Neodiprion lecontei: one gene and its partner. The protein of the gene in region 1 interacts with the protein of each later gene in a pairwise test. Links are inferred from orthologs where the notes say so. Each region holds a gene or a part of one and is shown in the gene's direction. Other genes may lie near its edges.

Region 1 (7,904 bases):
GGATATGGCTAATGGATCCTGCTCATTCTCGGCTTGTGTTTTTCCCAGCAAAAGCCACGCTTCTGAATTGTCTTTTTCCTGTTGAACCGCAGCTTCGAAACAAAGCACCGCACTGGGCAAATCACCGGCCTCAAGCCTTTTCTTACCCTCTTCCAACGCATTTGGTATTTCCTTCATTACATTTTCTTCAGTGAAGGTGTATTCCTGGAAAGGATCGTAGTACTTTTCGTATTCCGATAACCAAGGGTGTGAAGTGCTTACTTCATCAGAGGCTGATATTTTCTCCCACTCATCTTGCAACCTTGTCCAAAAATTCGATTTGTAATCATCTGCATCTATGGATACAAGAATATTATAAAAATGAATAACAAAGCAAGTTTCCCGAATTATAAAAGATATTCGTTCATTATTCGGAATATGAACGTCAGTTACACCCTGGCAATTCCGGAAATATCAGAGATGAATTACTTTTTGATGCAATTTAAATATGAACCTTGAGTTTCAGAGTTCTCTGTGGAAAATTCTTCAGCCCATGTCCCTGCAGCTGCTAGCTCTTCATCGATCTTGCTCAAAACTGGATGTTCGTCTTGAACATCTCCAGAGCGTTCGGAAGCACTAATATTCATGGAAGAAAATTCCTCTGTCCATTTATCATCCAACTTCTCTAGATTTGGCAGCGAAGTCTGACCAGGATCAATGGGAATCTCGCCTTCTTGTCGCATGAATTTCATGAACTTTGAATAAGCAAAATTTGGGTCATCATTATCCAAAGCTTCCGTTGATTTGACAACAAACCCATTCTGATTAACGTCCTTCTCTACATTATCCACACTATGTTCCAGGTATTCTTCAGCCCACTTGGGACCTAATCCTAATTCAAACGTTTCAGAGTGTGGGATGATAGCTTCAGCGGGTGTATTCCATATAGCATCAGCATGCTGTTCCTATAACAAAACTCAATTAAAACTCTGTAAACATCTTCCAAGCATTTAGAAGTTTTGAGTCAGTGCTTAGCATAAAATGCCAATGCTTGTATTTACTAATTCAGTTTATCATTTCAGTTTTCCATTTTTGATTTATGCAAAATATACGGAATCCTGTTTGGATTTGACGTACTTAAAATAATTTGATGCATTCTAGCAATTTAAGAAATCTCTAAAAATGATTCATTTTATGTTAGGAGCAATACCATTGTTTTTTGACCATCTGTAAATTTTCAAAGTATTTGAAATAAAAAGTGAAACAAACGCTACTATCAAACAGTTTTGAATATTACGTAATTACATCAAAATGACGACCAGATTCGAGATACTGGTTAGCCCACGCTGTGTCTTGGCCAGTTAATTCCTTAATCACACCAGGGGCAGGAACAGGCGCATGAATATTGTGATCAATCTGTCGCATTTCCTGCAGTAAACTGTCCATTCTAAATGTTTGAGGATGAGTGACTGTTTCCTCTAAAAACTGCTTAACCAAGTGGTCAGAATCAGACGCCTCGAAAGAAGTGGATGGCATAAATGGCCGGCCAATGCCTTCCTCGACAAATCCATGGTCCTGAACATAATGCGAGGCGAGACGAGCAACCGAACTCGGCCCTCCGCAGTCTCCCTCGACCAAATCGCGCAGTGCCATTACTGGATTCTAAAAGAACGCAAAGATGTTTTGACATGTTTGATTAACTGATACGCTATCTGCAACTCGTATTCAATTATGTAAAACAAGTGTACAAAAAGTGAAGCAAGAAAAAAAAAATAATGACCTTGCCAAAATAGTTGTGATAACTCTATATTCATGTTGTCTTTTTGAATGAATTGAAAGTCAAGTCAAGTTTCTACTGCTTGATAAATAAAAAAAAAATGTAATGAAACCTGAAAACTACAGGATTAGGTGAAGTTAATTAATGGATCTAAGGAAAAGAAAGTGTGTACAGCCTTTCCTAGTGTCACGTTGTTTACACGATGAGCAAAAATGAAAAAGTAATACAATAAAGCAAGGTGAGGATATACGAAGTCAAAGCTCAGAAAAAGTGCAAGGAGAGAATAAAGAGACACTATATTCTAACGGACTTACGAAATATACTCGACTTAGAACGAAGGCTGAATTATCTCCGATAGCTGCAATAACAAAAGACGGAGGTTATCTCAGGCAGCAAGAGTTTCCCATCCATGCAGCAAGTGCCAATTGTGTTATTTGTGGTTTGTCTACATCGTTCGAAAACACTCGCTTCCACCGCACGTCCGTCGAGTACCGATCGAGGGGGCCCCTGATTGTGCCTCGACCCTGTTTTCGTGAAATCAAACCGTGTAATAGATATCACTGCGTCATATCAGAGCCAACGAGGATATCCAGGGAATATATTCTAATGATTACCGACTCTCCGATGACGGCTCGAATCCCTGCCAAAATGACAGTGTGGTTCATGAAGACTATACAAGGAGCACGAAGTTAAATACTTGAATTGACAAAACTTGTCACAGTAATCATACATATTACGTTAATTTTTTGTACCGCTAGCGTCGCTAGTGTTCCTTTAGCAGCGAAGTGTCATTGGTTGCAGGGATGCCCAAGATCGACTAATCGATGATCTTGCAATGGGATTCGTAGAAAGTTTTCACTGCCGCCTTATGCCTCCCCCCAAACTTAGTTTCAGTACTTATTGAACACTAGTGACCTCTCATTTTGGGAAGCAATTTGTATACATCAAGTTCGTGCTCCTTGTATAAGTCTCCATGGTGTGGTTGGTAATACTCGGCGATTTTCGAGACTACTTGGCACATGACGTACTTCCGCTTATGCGCAGCAAGGAGGTGCCCAGGCAAAGGGAATTTTATTTAAGTTATTGAGCAAGTTCGATCAGACGTCACTCAGTCACCAGAATACAGCGCGTGTATTAAAAATTTCTGGAGAGCGCAAAACCTATACAGATCTGAGGACCCAAAAGCCTGACCCAAGCATTGAGTAGTAATACCGTGTAGTAATGAAGAAGGCTAGCCCCTGAGCAATGTAAAACAACATTCCTTTCCTATTAGATAGATAAGTCATAGAAATTTCTGGAAATTACCACAAGTTGCGACAAGGATTTTGAGTTATAACTTTACTGTTATAACATATTACGCCAGCTTTCTTACAGTGCTACTTTAAATCACTCTTTAAATAAACTGGTATAGGAATGCGACCCCAGAACAAATTCAAATAATCTCTGAGCCTATTTTACTACCATGCAATTTGCCCATTTGGTTGGCGTACTTCGGATATCGCTAGTTTACGCCACAACCCTAAAGCATATAGAAGTAAGGAGGACTATCTTTGTGTATAGAAAGTGTCCATGAAATAGGGTGAAATTAAGATGGCGTTGTAGGAAAAGTTCCACATTCAACAGAAAGCACGAATCAGATTGAAGCCTTATTGCTTATTAGAATCATTCTGGTGACTTGTTGAGCCACTATTTGTCGCTTTATGGTGGACACTTTTTCAGTTGATAACCCACGTGAGATAGCTACTTCTTACCTCTTCGCGCCATATACTCGAGGTAGCTTCGCGTATACAGAAAGGTAGCGGAGGAGTGAGAGAGAAAGGTATATGTCGAGTATAATCTGTCTTAAATAATCATCTAATTGAATGCGAGAGACAGAGTGCCCCTAATACTTCTCTCTCTCTCTCTCTCTCTCTCTCTCTCTCTCTCTCTTTCTCTCTCATCACATCGGCTGCAGTTTTCGCAAGGTGACAGGTTGGGCAGCCACCTCCCGTAGTATGTGCTCTAAGGCCACAACTGAATTGAACTAAACATTCGAAATCTCGATGATAATCGACCTAGCGCTGCCATGAAGTTGGCAATTTAACTTGCTAAGTCTAGCAGTATATTCTATATCGTGTTTGTGGCCCATGCCCATAAAATCCACGCTTTTTTATTACCGAGAGATTCTCAGGAAACCACGAGGCGAAGTTTGAAAGCCCTAGGTCAAAAGCAAGTTTTACATGCCTCTGATGCGTGTCAAAGCGTTCGAAATTTTTCACATTCTAACCATACGATATGTTCTCACAATCCATTTTTCGCACGAACCACACGATGCGAGTGTATTCGAAGCAGCTAATGAGAGAATTCGATTAAGGAGGAATGGAGACACCGCGATCCTCCCGATGCTTTTTCTGTTGATTATTACGATTTCGGTGAGATTGTTCGCCCCCGTCGCAGCCGTGTGCGCGACCGGATAAGATTTAACATTATTGGGAAGAGTAGGGTGCGCAATGACCGTCTGCTGCGCGAGGTAGCTGCGCGTTGAGATAATAATCTGGAACCCCAACGAGTGTCGACAGCGCCATGTTGGCTTAAGAGAAGAAGTGCACGGAGAGTAATCAACGTCCGTGAATGTTCTCCGTTTAACAATCTCCCAGCGATGGAGGAGACAAAAATAATATACCACATTGACGACGAGGAGACACCGTACCTAGTTAAGCTAACAATATCACCGGAGAGAGTGACTCTAGCCGACTTCAAGAATGTCTTGAATCGTCCGAGCTACAAGTATTTCTTCAAATCGATGGACGACGATTTCGGGTAAGTTTTGCACCACCCTACGCTCTCCTTATCATCCAGCAGCGGATCACTCGCCCTGCGCTTGTTTCCTTTCGCTCTTGCCCTTTCTCTCACCAAAGCCTCTACGCTACTCCATATTTCATCCCCAACATCCCTCGGGAACCAGGATACCCCGACTTTCAGGGTGCGAACCCACACTCTGCCCCTCTCGCCAGTCACCTTCCTCTATTCGTCGTCCCTGTCGCTCCGCCACCATCCGTCACTTTCCGCTGTCTCTCAGGATCGCCAAACACTATTTCACTTGTCCGTCGGATAGAAATAATCGACAAACTTTACTCGAGTATTTACAAATTCTGCTCTTCTTACCTCAAAACGCGAAATAGAATCTGATGTATAAAACGATTCATTTCTAACACTACTTGTCAACACGAAGCTTTTTCTTCATTCATTTTTTTTCCTGTTTTCTTTGTTTTTTTCCGTGCTTTCGCGTAGACAGTTCACATATACGCAATTCTTTCATTTATCGAACATTACAGAATTCTTGTTTTTAAAAAAAAACATGTTTTTCACTATTGGACTTGAGTTTTAAAACGTGTTTATTGCGCTTTTAGATATCTTGCTTCCATTTTGAAATATACAAGAAACACTTCTTTGTACGATACTTTGACTAATTCGCTCTTGTCCCAATAGTTGTTCTATCTTAGAAATACCAATGGAAATATCTGCCTTGCGTCTGTACTGATTCGTCTTGCATTAACCTCTTGAACTTTTACCTATAAATAATATGTTTTCACAGCGTTGTCAAAGAAGAAATAGTTGACGATGACGCACATTTACCATGTTTCAACGGAAGGGTTGTGTCTTGGGTAAGCACTCATACCCGTAAGCCTAATTAGTTGATTTCATTCGCTGCACATTGCCACAGTAAATAACAAATGGACAATTCATAGAAGCATAATGATGATGTTTTGAAATTATATAAAACTTCTTGATAGTAAAATATTAGTAAGTGTGCATAATTGATGTAGTTAAAATCACTGATGATCATTTTTTGAATATTGTCAACAGCTGGTTTCTGCTGAAGGCAGCAACGTATCAGATGGAGCATCGCAGTGCACAGATTCCGTAGCAAACAGTGAGGCAAAACATGATCGCCCTGACCATGTTACTCCAGGACACATGAACCGAGCACCTCCACTGCTCTCACACGATGACACATTGACAGAAACTGAGAGTATTATAAGCAGCAGGCAAGGCCATCATCTGCACAAAAGTTCGCGGCATCATTCGGACAAATATGAGAGACATAACAAATATAATGGTAATGTGGTTCCTTTGCTTGTCGATTCCAATAGCATAGGATTGATTGTAATTATCTACGACTTTACTGTTATTTTATGATATGATACAGGGTTACGCATAAACGGCCATTCCAAGCATCGTTCCGGACATGGATATGAAACCGCATCGATTTTAAGCTCCGACTTAGAGACAACTACTTTCCTGGAATCTGATGACGATGCGAGCAGCCGAATAACGTCTACGACTGGGCGACACACGAACACAAGCAGTGCCATAGATAGAGCAACCTTAGGTATGATGTTTGTGTATTTTGTTGTTTAGAGCTGAGCTGTATCGAGATTTCTTTTCAATATAAGATTCGTTGTAAACACAACTGGCTTCGAAAATCATTGATGCAATATTCATTTCACTTATAGACCGTCGCAGGACGCAGCGAAAACGTCGTCACAGATTACCACCAATGTCAAGAACGTCATCGTTCAGCAGCATCACTGACAGCACCATGTCTCTGAACATTATAACCGTATCACTCAATATGGACACTGTCAATTTTCTCGGCATTAGTATCGTTGGCCAAAGTAACAAAGGAGGTGACGGCGGCATCTATGTCGGCTCCATTATGAAGGGGTAAATATAAATATTTGTTACCACACATTCACGAGTTACTTCAGTGTCTGCCATTTTTATTGAAATCCATCTTTATCACATATCACTGGGATCAACACGTGGTTTTGCTTTTTTCCTACATCTGTAGATTATTTACACGTTATCACGTTTAGAGTAGCATCTTTACATGTTCAACGACTCAATTTTATAATACAGTTTATTTTCAAGTAATTTTTACAAACGAATAACTTAATGAAAAACGACACGTCAAATTCTGCCTAAGGTTTCGTTTTCACGAAATACGCGGTACCGAAAGGACTCTGTAATATTTATTTTTGTACAGAGCATCCAAAGTTTGATCATGGTGGCTACTGGTCAGGGGGCAACCTGGAAGGCTGGGAAAAGTCGGAATTTTTTTGATCAGGTTTTTTAGCGGTATGGAAAGACAAGGAATAAAACTTCTCTAGAGAAAAACAAAATGCGATAGATATTTGTTGTTTAAATGCTCCTTTCCACGACCACTGAGTGCACCATCAACGTTTTTTCAAATACCGATTATTTCAGAGATCTATTTATTAGATGCTCAAATTGGAAGTATTGGTTTGAATTTCAGTTAGGGAAAAATATTTATTTGGTAGGAAAATTTTTTTTACTATTTTCAAAGGCCACCATGTTGAAAAAACAAACTATAAATTTTTACTCTATTGAGTAAACTTGAATAGGTAACTATTTTGTTATTTTCTTATCGCAATATAGAGGAGCTGTAGCTTTGGATGGCCGAATAGAACCGGGAGACATGATACTTCAAGTGAACGATATCAATTTTGAAAACATGTCCAATGACGAGGCTGTCAGGGTGTTACGCGAAGTGGTTCAAAAACCTGGGTTTGTACAAAAACAAATAGCATCTTAGTAATAACCCAAGTATCTGCGAGAGCCGCCTCAATTTCTAAGTGCACAATTTTCGCTTCAGGCCAATAAAACTCGTGGTAGCAAAATGTTGGGATCCAAATCCCAAAGGGTACTTCACGATTCCACGAACGGAACCAGTGCGTCCCATAGATCCGGGAGCATGGGTTGCACACACAGCTGCTATCAGAGGTGAAGGTTTTCCACCTCGACCTCCTAGTGCCACAACTCTTACCTCAACCTCTAGTAGTCTTGCCAGCACAATTCCAGATACCGAACGTAAGTTAAAAATAACAAAAATCTACTCATGGTGTATTTGAATGGATCTGCCAGCTTGTCATGGATGTAATATCTTATCAGAAAATTTCCTTTGCTTTGTTCTTTTTATACTGATGTATAAATAAAACAATCATTTAGCATTTATAATTGTATTAGTTTCACGAAGAATATCTAAAAAATATTATGCGTAGTTGCAACAAAATCTTTTGAATACATCTATGTGTGTCTGTATTCACGTCTTACATATGACTAATATACTCTATATTATTACTTG
Region 2 (7,568 bases), on another chromosome or scaffold:
ACAGCGCATGAAGCTAATTTTCGAATGTATTTTTGGTTGATTTTATCGGGTGGAAAAGTAATAAAATTCGTGTCGATACCAAGAATCAGAGACAAGCCACAAGAAGTTTCGTACCTGAAATTGTAATGTTGTATAAAATTAAACTTACATTTATACCGTTTGATAATGGTTGATAAAAACAACCATCCACTGATGTTTTCTACATTTTACCCAGATTCACGTAGTCATTTTCTGATTCGTTGCAGAATATTTCTACCAAATTTCAAGAGGGCTTTGTTAAATCATTTGACCTACTGTACCATTTGATGACCATTTGTCCTTTCTGGCTGTGCCAAGAATAAATTTTGCTACTCGTTATAACGTCAAACGATACTCAGTAAATATTCGTTTGTACACCCATTTAAACAAGTCATCAATCCTCTATTTTAATCTGATCTTGCTAATATACTTCAGAAAACAATCAAATATTAAATTATTTTCTACAGCTAATAGCGTGCTTAATGTTATTCACTTGCTTGTTTCTACCATAGACACATTATTCTTGTTCAGAAAAAGATTTATTATAGTAGATAATTTATATTCATTCTGAACAAATAACGTACGAACATGCAGAGAATTCTAAAGCTACAATTAAACTACTATCTTCTATGTAATAATAACATCAATACTCAACGACGTGTACAATATTTTTTATTTACTTTGAACATTCTCTTTACGACCTCACATCATATTAAGAGAACAATTTATAGCTTAGGAAATTTTGATACGTTTACTACGTCGTATCATTATTCAGACCGTTTATCTTTAGTATCAGAATCCAACCTACCCAAATCTGTTCTTGTATACGCGGTGGCGACCGCGGCTATCCGTTTCCTTGTAGTCTGTCTCTGTATCGCTGCTACTATCTTGCACATAACTTAAACGATCTCCAGGATTTGACATGTCAGGCCAGCTAGTAGAATGATGAAAGAAAAAAACCAGAAAAATATTCATTAATCACTGACTGTAAAATACTTTAAAGTTTTACGACAATGAGCTACATGACTAGGTGATCTGAATGAAGACGGCAAATCTGAATTTGCATGATTTCCGAGCGGGATGAAAAATTTACAGTATAGAAAAATCTTACAGTGAAATTGATGTTTTATCCATTGAGAAAGAGATATGAAGAAACAGGATTCCAAGGTGACCTTGTCAACTTAGCAATGAAATAACAAGTAAACTACTCCGCGTTTATTTAGTTGCCTTGAACACTTTGTAAAAATATTCTTCTTTTAGAAATTTCAATGTTTGATGAACAATTATAAACGATGCATGAAAAGTTTGGACAACGTTATGCTTTCAAGTCAAACTTGACTGCGGTAATAATAAGAGAATACAGAAGCTGTGGCGTGTCTCGAGTCTCAAAATAAATTGAAGTAAGTTCATTTGCCAAAAGTAATCACGTATCATCGTACTTGCATACGTATATTCAAGACTTTATATTAATAGATCACAGGATCATCACAAAGGTAATGAAATGTTATACAACACTTCACTCGACAACAGAGAAGCATGCCTTGCTTGTACGACGCAGTCGTATTATTGATAAGTGAGATGACGAATCGTACGAGTAACAACCTATAATAACAGTAAAACGTGCCACTCCCTATTTTTTATCTTTCTTTCTTCGTAATCCTAATTTCTTTTATTCACAACGGTTGGAAATCTCGTGGGGAGAAATAAGGAAAATATGTTGACAAGAACATAGATCCAACGATTTTTGTTGGAATCCCTTGAATAGAGTACAGCTAGCATTGTTGGGACTATGAAGTTTAGTTACTGAGAAATACTAGAGGTCTGGTTGTTGTGTGTATAATGTACTTACGAATGATAAAATGGTAAATACCACTCTATTTTCTCCAATAGCCACTTTAATGAGGAGCAAATTTGAACGCTGCAAAAGTAAAACCTAACCTGTCTAGTTTTTTTTACAGTAAATCGCATTCCAAACCAACGGTTAATACCCTTAAAGGTTGTCTGATATTTCTCAATTACCTGATAGACTAGGCCATTTGTTATGGTTTTTTCTGCAATAACTTTATTCTTGTCTGTTCTACGGATCCCGAAACTTCGGCAGACAAAGGTACATATGTTCGGAAGGAGATGCAGAAACAATTACTAGCCGTGACTAAGTTAGTGTTTTTTTTTTTTTTTGGTTTTTCTTTCTTTTATTATACTTTTCTCATTACGAACAGAACGCACAGGTAGAATGATAATTAATATCAAATTGACAATATTTTTTCTTTTTTTGTTTTTCCTAACTCCGTCTGTCACTCCTAATAAATAAACTGTATTCTCGTGTCATATGAATCACTTAAATCGAACTTACGGCACTCTTTTGGCCCGTATTGACGTGCCAATGATTATTTTAACGACAGTCTACTGGCTCAAAAAGACAACATGGTATTAACATTTGATTTGGAACTGTCAAAGAACTCCCCGTTAGCAACTAAGGACTATTTCACGGTCTATACCGGACGGGGTTCAATGGTTGGTCAGGAGAAATCCCTTTGGCTGAAACTTGGAGCATATACTACTGGAGGGAGCTACCTATTCCATCGACCTCGCGATAGTTGCAGCCCGAGTAATGAGAGAGACAGGTTATAACCAACATACACCTCTCTCTCTCACTCCTTTGCTGCACTTTCTGTGTACGCTAACCAGTAGTATGACATACTCTAAGGGCTGAAAGGACTTAAATCAGACAGGCGCGCAGACGCGGGGAATTCTCGAAGCTGGGCAAAGATACCGATGTAGTTATGTAGTGTACTCTTAGCATTTTCTGAATTAGAAGGAATAAATTCTAGGTATGTAACATACATAGATGCGTACATACGTCGTCGATTTATTTCGACGGTAAACCGTGATTGGAGTAATAACAATTCTTCGGAGTGTAAAATCGATTACGATTTCGGTCATTAAACCCTCAACGCATCAATCGATAGCGTTAAAATTTGTCGACTCCTCATTGGTCGAACTTGGTACGTCGACCGGCTCGCTTTTGGCTCCTCAGTCGCTTTGTCGCCCCATCTGGAGAGGGTCGAATGCTCGGATGAAATAAAAAACTGGCGACTGGGATGGCAGTCTTTTCTCGTACTACTACTGCACATCGTATCGTGATTATATCTGTATTAAAATGAAAGTAATTTTTATTGTTGCCAGTAATGCGAGATTTGCTGTTCAATATTTTGTCAGCGTGTTTGATCCCGTGTAGAGAATCGATACCGCTTATCGTATATGCAAAGTCGACTGCTTCAACCCTGGTTTTGATTAATCCGAGTTCTATCTCATTCATAACAACATATCGAAGCAGTTGCACATTTTACTCCCTGGCTGCACCACCTCCACTTCGTCACCGTGCTGCCCCGCATTAATGCACTGACAAACTAAATAATCGACGTCAAAGCTGTCAAACATGGCGAACGGTCTGTGATATCTAATTGACATGTAAAAATGTGAGCGAGCACGGGGAGGAAGCAGTTCGCGGTTCAGTTCTTGTTTAAACTATTCACAAACTCCCGTATAATGTAAATGTATCAAGTGCTCCTGGAGGTTGATGCGCGAAGCAGTTGACCTCGGCGTACTTTCAGCCGGGGCAGAATATAAGGGTATGTTAAACGAGGAACTATGGGTGCTCAACAGACTAAGGATAGAGTGATTCCCACCGGGTCTGCCGTACGACAAACTCGGAAACAGCCCAGAAACCCGAAGGAATCCAGGCTCATTGGATCGAACATTTTTACGGAACACAGCGGTAAGCTGATCTCCATTTTCATTGTAAGACTCTACCCCTCCCTTTTTCCTGTTTTAACAGTTTCATTTTTCTTCTCATTTCATTCAATCGCACTTCCTACACGCACTCATTGTTACTCTTTCCTTCTTTTTTCCTTACCTTTTCCGTTTTCATTGACAACCTTCATCTCATCACAACGTTATGTACTAATATCACACATTGCATAAGTCCAATTTCGAATACAATTATTTTATCCATTTGTTTGCCAAATGAAACATGGAATAGAGACTCGCAATGAAGTTCCTCGCAGATAAAATCACATCGATACAGAATGAATTCATCTCTGATTTACTGCTATTATTTCATTATAGTCAATTCAGAGCCAATGTAATTGTACAAATTTCGATATTATCTTCCATTCCTCGACACAGTGTGTTAATTTATGTCCACCTTCGAATTTCCTTATTCGGGTTTATTTACACAGAATTAAATTTTTCAATCGAACTTCTATACTTATAAGAATTTTATATTAATGGAATCGATTACTTGGAAAAAAAAATGTACTCATTTGTTACAATGGAATTTAGTTTGTCGTACACAGCTATATTTAATACAACATGAAGCAAAACAAACGAGAAACGGCGTGAATCGTGTTATATGACTTCCTTTTGCAGTTATTTTTAACTCTGTGTTCGATATTTCTTTATCAAAGTTTTTTGATTCTGATTAATAAAATTTGCAATGCAACGATTATAAATAGAATATTCTTTATTATCAGTGAACAGTAGCTGTTCATTTCCTGCAACTAGTTCTAATGTATGTGGTCCGAATAATCAGTAATGAATTCTTTAATTGCATTTGTCCGTGTCGCAGATCATTTCTTTTAAAGTTGAATTTATCGGAACAAAATTACAGTAGATTTTGCCCTTAATTCTGAGCTGCACAAATTTTTTGAGAAGCAGTATTTAATTCTTATTCAGGAACAAATTGTGCCGAACTATAATATGTCCTTGTTAGAATGATCAGTTTATTATAAGACTGTTGGAAAACAAACAAAATCGAACAAAGTTCAGATCTTTTCAAACCATTGGAAAGTTAGAGAAACGGGAATATTCACAAATTACAAACTTGCAATATAGCATCAATATCCTTTACAAAATGCATTTTCTTTGTTTTATAACTGAAAATATGTAATTAATGATATCATTCATTTATCGTTTGAGTCTATGTATACTTGCATTGAAAAAAAGGCGGTTAAATTCATTTGACTTCTGTTATTCAATTACTCATACCGATATTCTAGATCTAACGTTGCTTGTCTTGAGGCAAGATGTGACTGATGATCATACATTTTCAGAGGCATTACTACAGAGTAGACCTCTACCTCATATACCAGCCTTACCTGAAGGAGATCCACCTAGCAGTTCAAGTTCTCAATCACTTTCCCAACAGTCCAGCCTGCAGCAGCATAGTAGCGTCACTACTACAGGACTTCTGGAAGCTGCTAATCGGTAAAATATATTGCAAATTATAATTTCATTATATTGTTCCCAATGCAATAGAACATAATATGAGGAAATATTATATTAACCAAAATTTGGATATTTCAATTCATGGGCTTAATTTCATTTGAATAGAACATATTTTCAAATAATTTTCAAATTTAAAACAATCATCACCCAGCCCTAAAAAATGACGAGTTGCCATATGTGCTTCGATGAACATAATATGAGAAACTGTTTACTTACCCTTGATTGTAGATGGACAAGCAAAGAAAATCTTCTGGCTCAAGAAGAAGATGATCCGCAATTATTTGTAGCGTTATATGACTTCCAAGCTGGTGGTGAAAATCAACTTAGCCTTAAAAAAGGTAATTTCTGGGATTTTTTTCCATTCCATCTACAGTATCAATTATTTCTTCACTTGGGTACTATAATCTCGTCACTGCATACATTATACTCTTGACTTGAGGAGATTTAATTTAATTTCAAATTGTAGTTTCAAAATGAAAAAAAAAAAATGTATTCTGAAGTTACTATTGGAAATATATTTATATAGGGGAACAAGTTCGTATATCAAGTTACAACAAGAGTGGAGAATGGTGCGAAGCCCACTCCAGTACAGGCCAAGTTGGCTGGGTTCCTTCAAATTACGTAACCCCCGTGAATTCGCTGGAAAAACATTCGTGGTACCATGGGCGAATATCAAGAAATGCTGCAGAGTATCTGCTCAGTTCGGGTATAAACGGAAGTTTCTTAGTTAGAGAATCAGAGAGCAGTCCTGGGCAACGAAGTATTTCATTACGATATGAAGGGCGCGTTTATCATTACAGAATAAATGAAGACAGTGAAGGAAAGGTCGGTAATGACTCTAGTATAATAACATATCTCGTAGACATCATCTTATGGTAAATTCAAATTTCAAACAAACTACTGTTCTAGATGTTTGTTACAACGGAGAGTAAATTCAATACGTTAGCTGAGTTAGTTCATCATCATTCCATGCTGGCCGATGGTCTGATTACTCAGCTACTTTATCCAGCCCCCAAGCGCAACAAACCTACCGTTTTCCCACTAAGTCCAGGTAAGATACGAAGGAACGGGTTAAAGTATCTTCAATTATTACTAACAAAGTTATCCAAGTCATTGGTTATGTGTGAGCGTAATCTATAAACATTTGGATTCGTACTATGACAAACTCTAATTGCTATTTGTAAAAATTTTAGAACCAGACGAGTGGGAAATTAATCGGACAGACATAGTAATGAAGCATAAATTAGGCGGGGGCCAATATGGCGATGTATACGAGGCATTATGGAAAAGATATAACATGACAGTCGCAGTGAAAACGCTGAAGGTGAGATGCAAAGTGCTTTATCACTGCGTTGTTACTTTTAGTAAAATTTTGTAATATTTCCATAACGTAAAACACACTTTTGCCATTCTCCAGGAGGACACAATGGCATTGAAAGACTTTTTGGAAGAAGCGGCGATAATGAAAGAGATGAAACATCGAAACTTGGTACAGTTGATAGGCGTCTGTACGCGAGAGCCCCCATTTTATATAATTACTGAATTTATGAGCAAGGGAAACCTTCTCGACTATTTACGAAACGAGAGTAAACACCAAATCAATGCTGTTGCCCTAATGCACATGGCTACACAGATAGCCAGCGGTATGAGCTACTTGGAAAGTAGGAACTTCATTCACAGGTAAAAAACCTCATGGCCTTACCCTCAATACAATCTTCAAGCCCTTAATAAATCTTAGCATTTTATACACATGGTTGAATTTGGTCAACTAGGGATTTAGCTGCACGTAACTGCTTAGTTGGAGAAAATCATCTAGTGAAAGTTGCAGACTTCGGTTTAGCTCGACTTATGAGAGACGACACTTATACAGCCCATGCAGGTGCGAAATTCCCGATTAAATGGACTGCTCCAGAAGGATTAGCTTACAACAAATTTTCAACAAAAGTACGTAATTATTCAGATTTTTGTTGATGTGTATTTTTGTTTGACCATTGAATAAAAAATATGTATAAATCATACGGTCGGTAGTTTGTATATTTGAGTGAATTTTATGAAAATTTTTGTGTATTTTTTTCCATGCGCAGTCAGACGTGTGGGCTTTTGGAATATTACTGTGGGAAATAGCAACCTATGGAATGTCTCCATATCCAGGTGTCGATTTAACCGATGTTTACCACATGCTGGAAAAAGGCTATCGCATGGAATGTCCACCCGGCTGCCCACCGAAAGTGTACGAATTGATGAGGCAGTGCTGGAAATGG

The links. The genes of interacting proteins can lie anywhere in the genome.
Region 2: the proteins of segment polarity protein dishevelled homolog DVL-3 (region 1) and tyrosine-protein kinase Abl interact in binary tests that used the Drosophila melanogaster proteins (3 or more experiments, as listed by UniProt). The link is inferred for Neodiprion lecontei from reciprocal best matches to the Drosophila melanogaster genes dsh and Abl.

The regions. Positions count from the first base shown.
Region 1 is NC_060262.1:8,146,049-8,153,952, reverse strand, and holds the start of segment polarity protein dishevelled homolog DVL-3, read left to right. Parts: upstream 1-4,001; 5' UTR 4,002-4,394; coding exon 4,395-4,555; intron 4,556-5,330; coding exon 5,331-5,400; intron 5,401-5,602; coding exon 5,603-5,855; intron 5,856-5,945; coding exon 5,946-6,128; intron 6,129-6,252; coding exon 6,253-6,463; intron 6,464-7,198; coding exon 7,199-7,327; intron 7,328-7,415; coding exon 7,416-7,630; intron 7,631-7,904. Other genes in the region: peroxisomal targeting signal 1 receptor, read right to left, coding at 1-335, 494-944, 1,285-1,632.
Region 2 is NC_060261.1:5,820,420-5,827,987, forward strand, and holds the start of tyrosine-protein kinase Abl, read left to right. Parts: upstream 1-3,075; 5' UTR 3,076-3,669; coding exon 3,670-3,796; intron 3,797-5,132; coding exon 5,133-5,286; intron 5,287-5,535; coding exon 5,536-5,645; intron 5,646-5,833; coding exon 5,834-6,132; intron 6,133-6,216; coding exon 6,217-6,358; intron 6,359-6,500; coding exon 6,501-6,631; intron 6,632-6,724; coding exon 6,725-6,987; intron 6,988-7,079; coding exon 7,080-7,251; intron 7,252-7,391; coding exon 7,392-7,568. Other genes in the region: BTB/POZ domain-containing protein 10, read right to left, coding at 827-952, 1,868-1,986. UniProt on the Drosophila melanogaster protein: Arm and Abl proteins function cooperatively at adherens junctions in both the CNS and epidermis; critical for embryonic epithelial morphogenesis regulating cell shape changes and cell migration.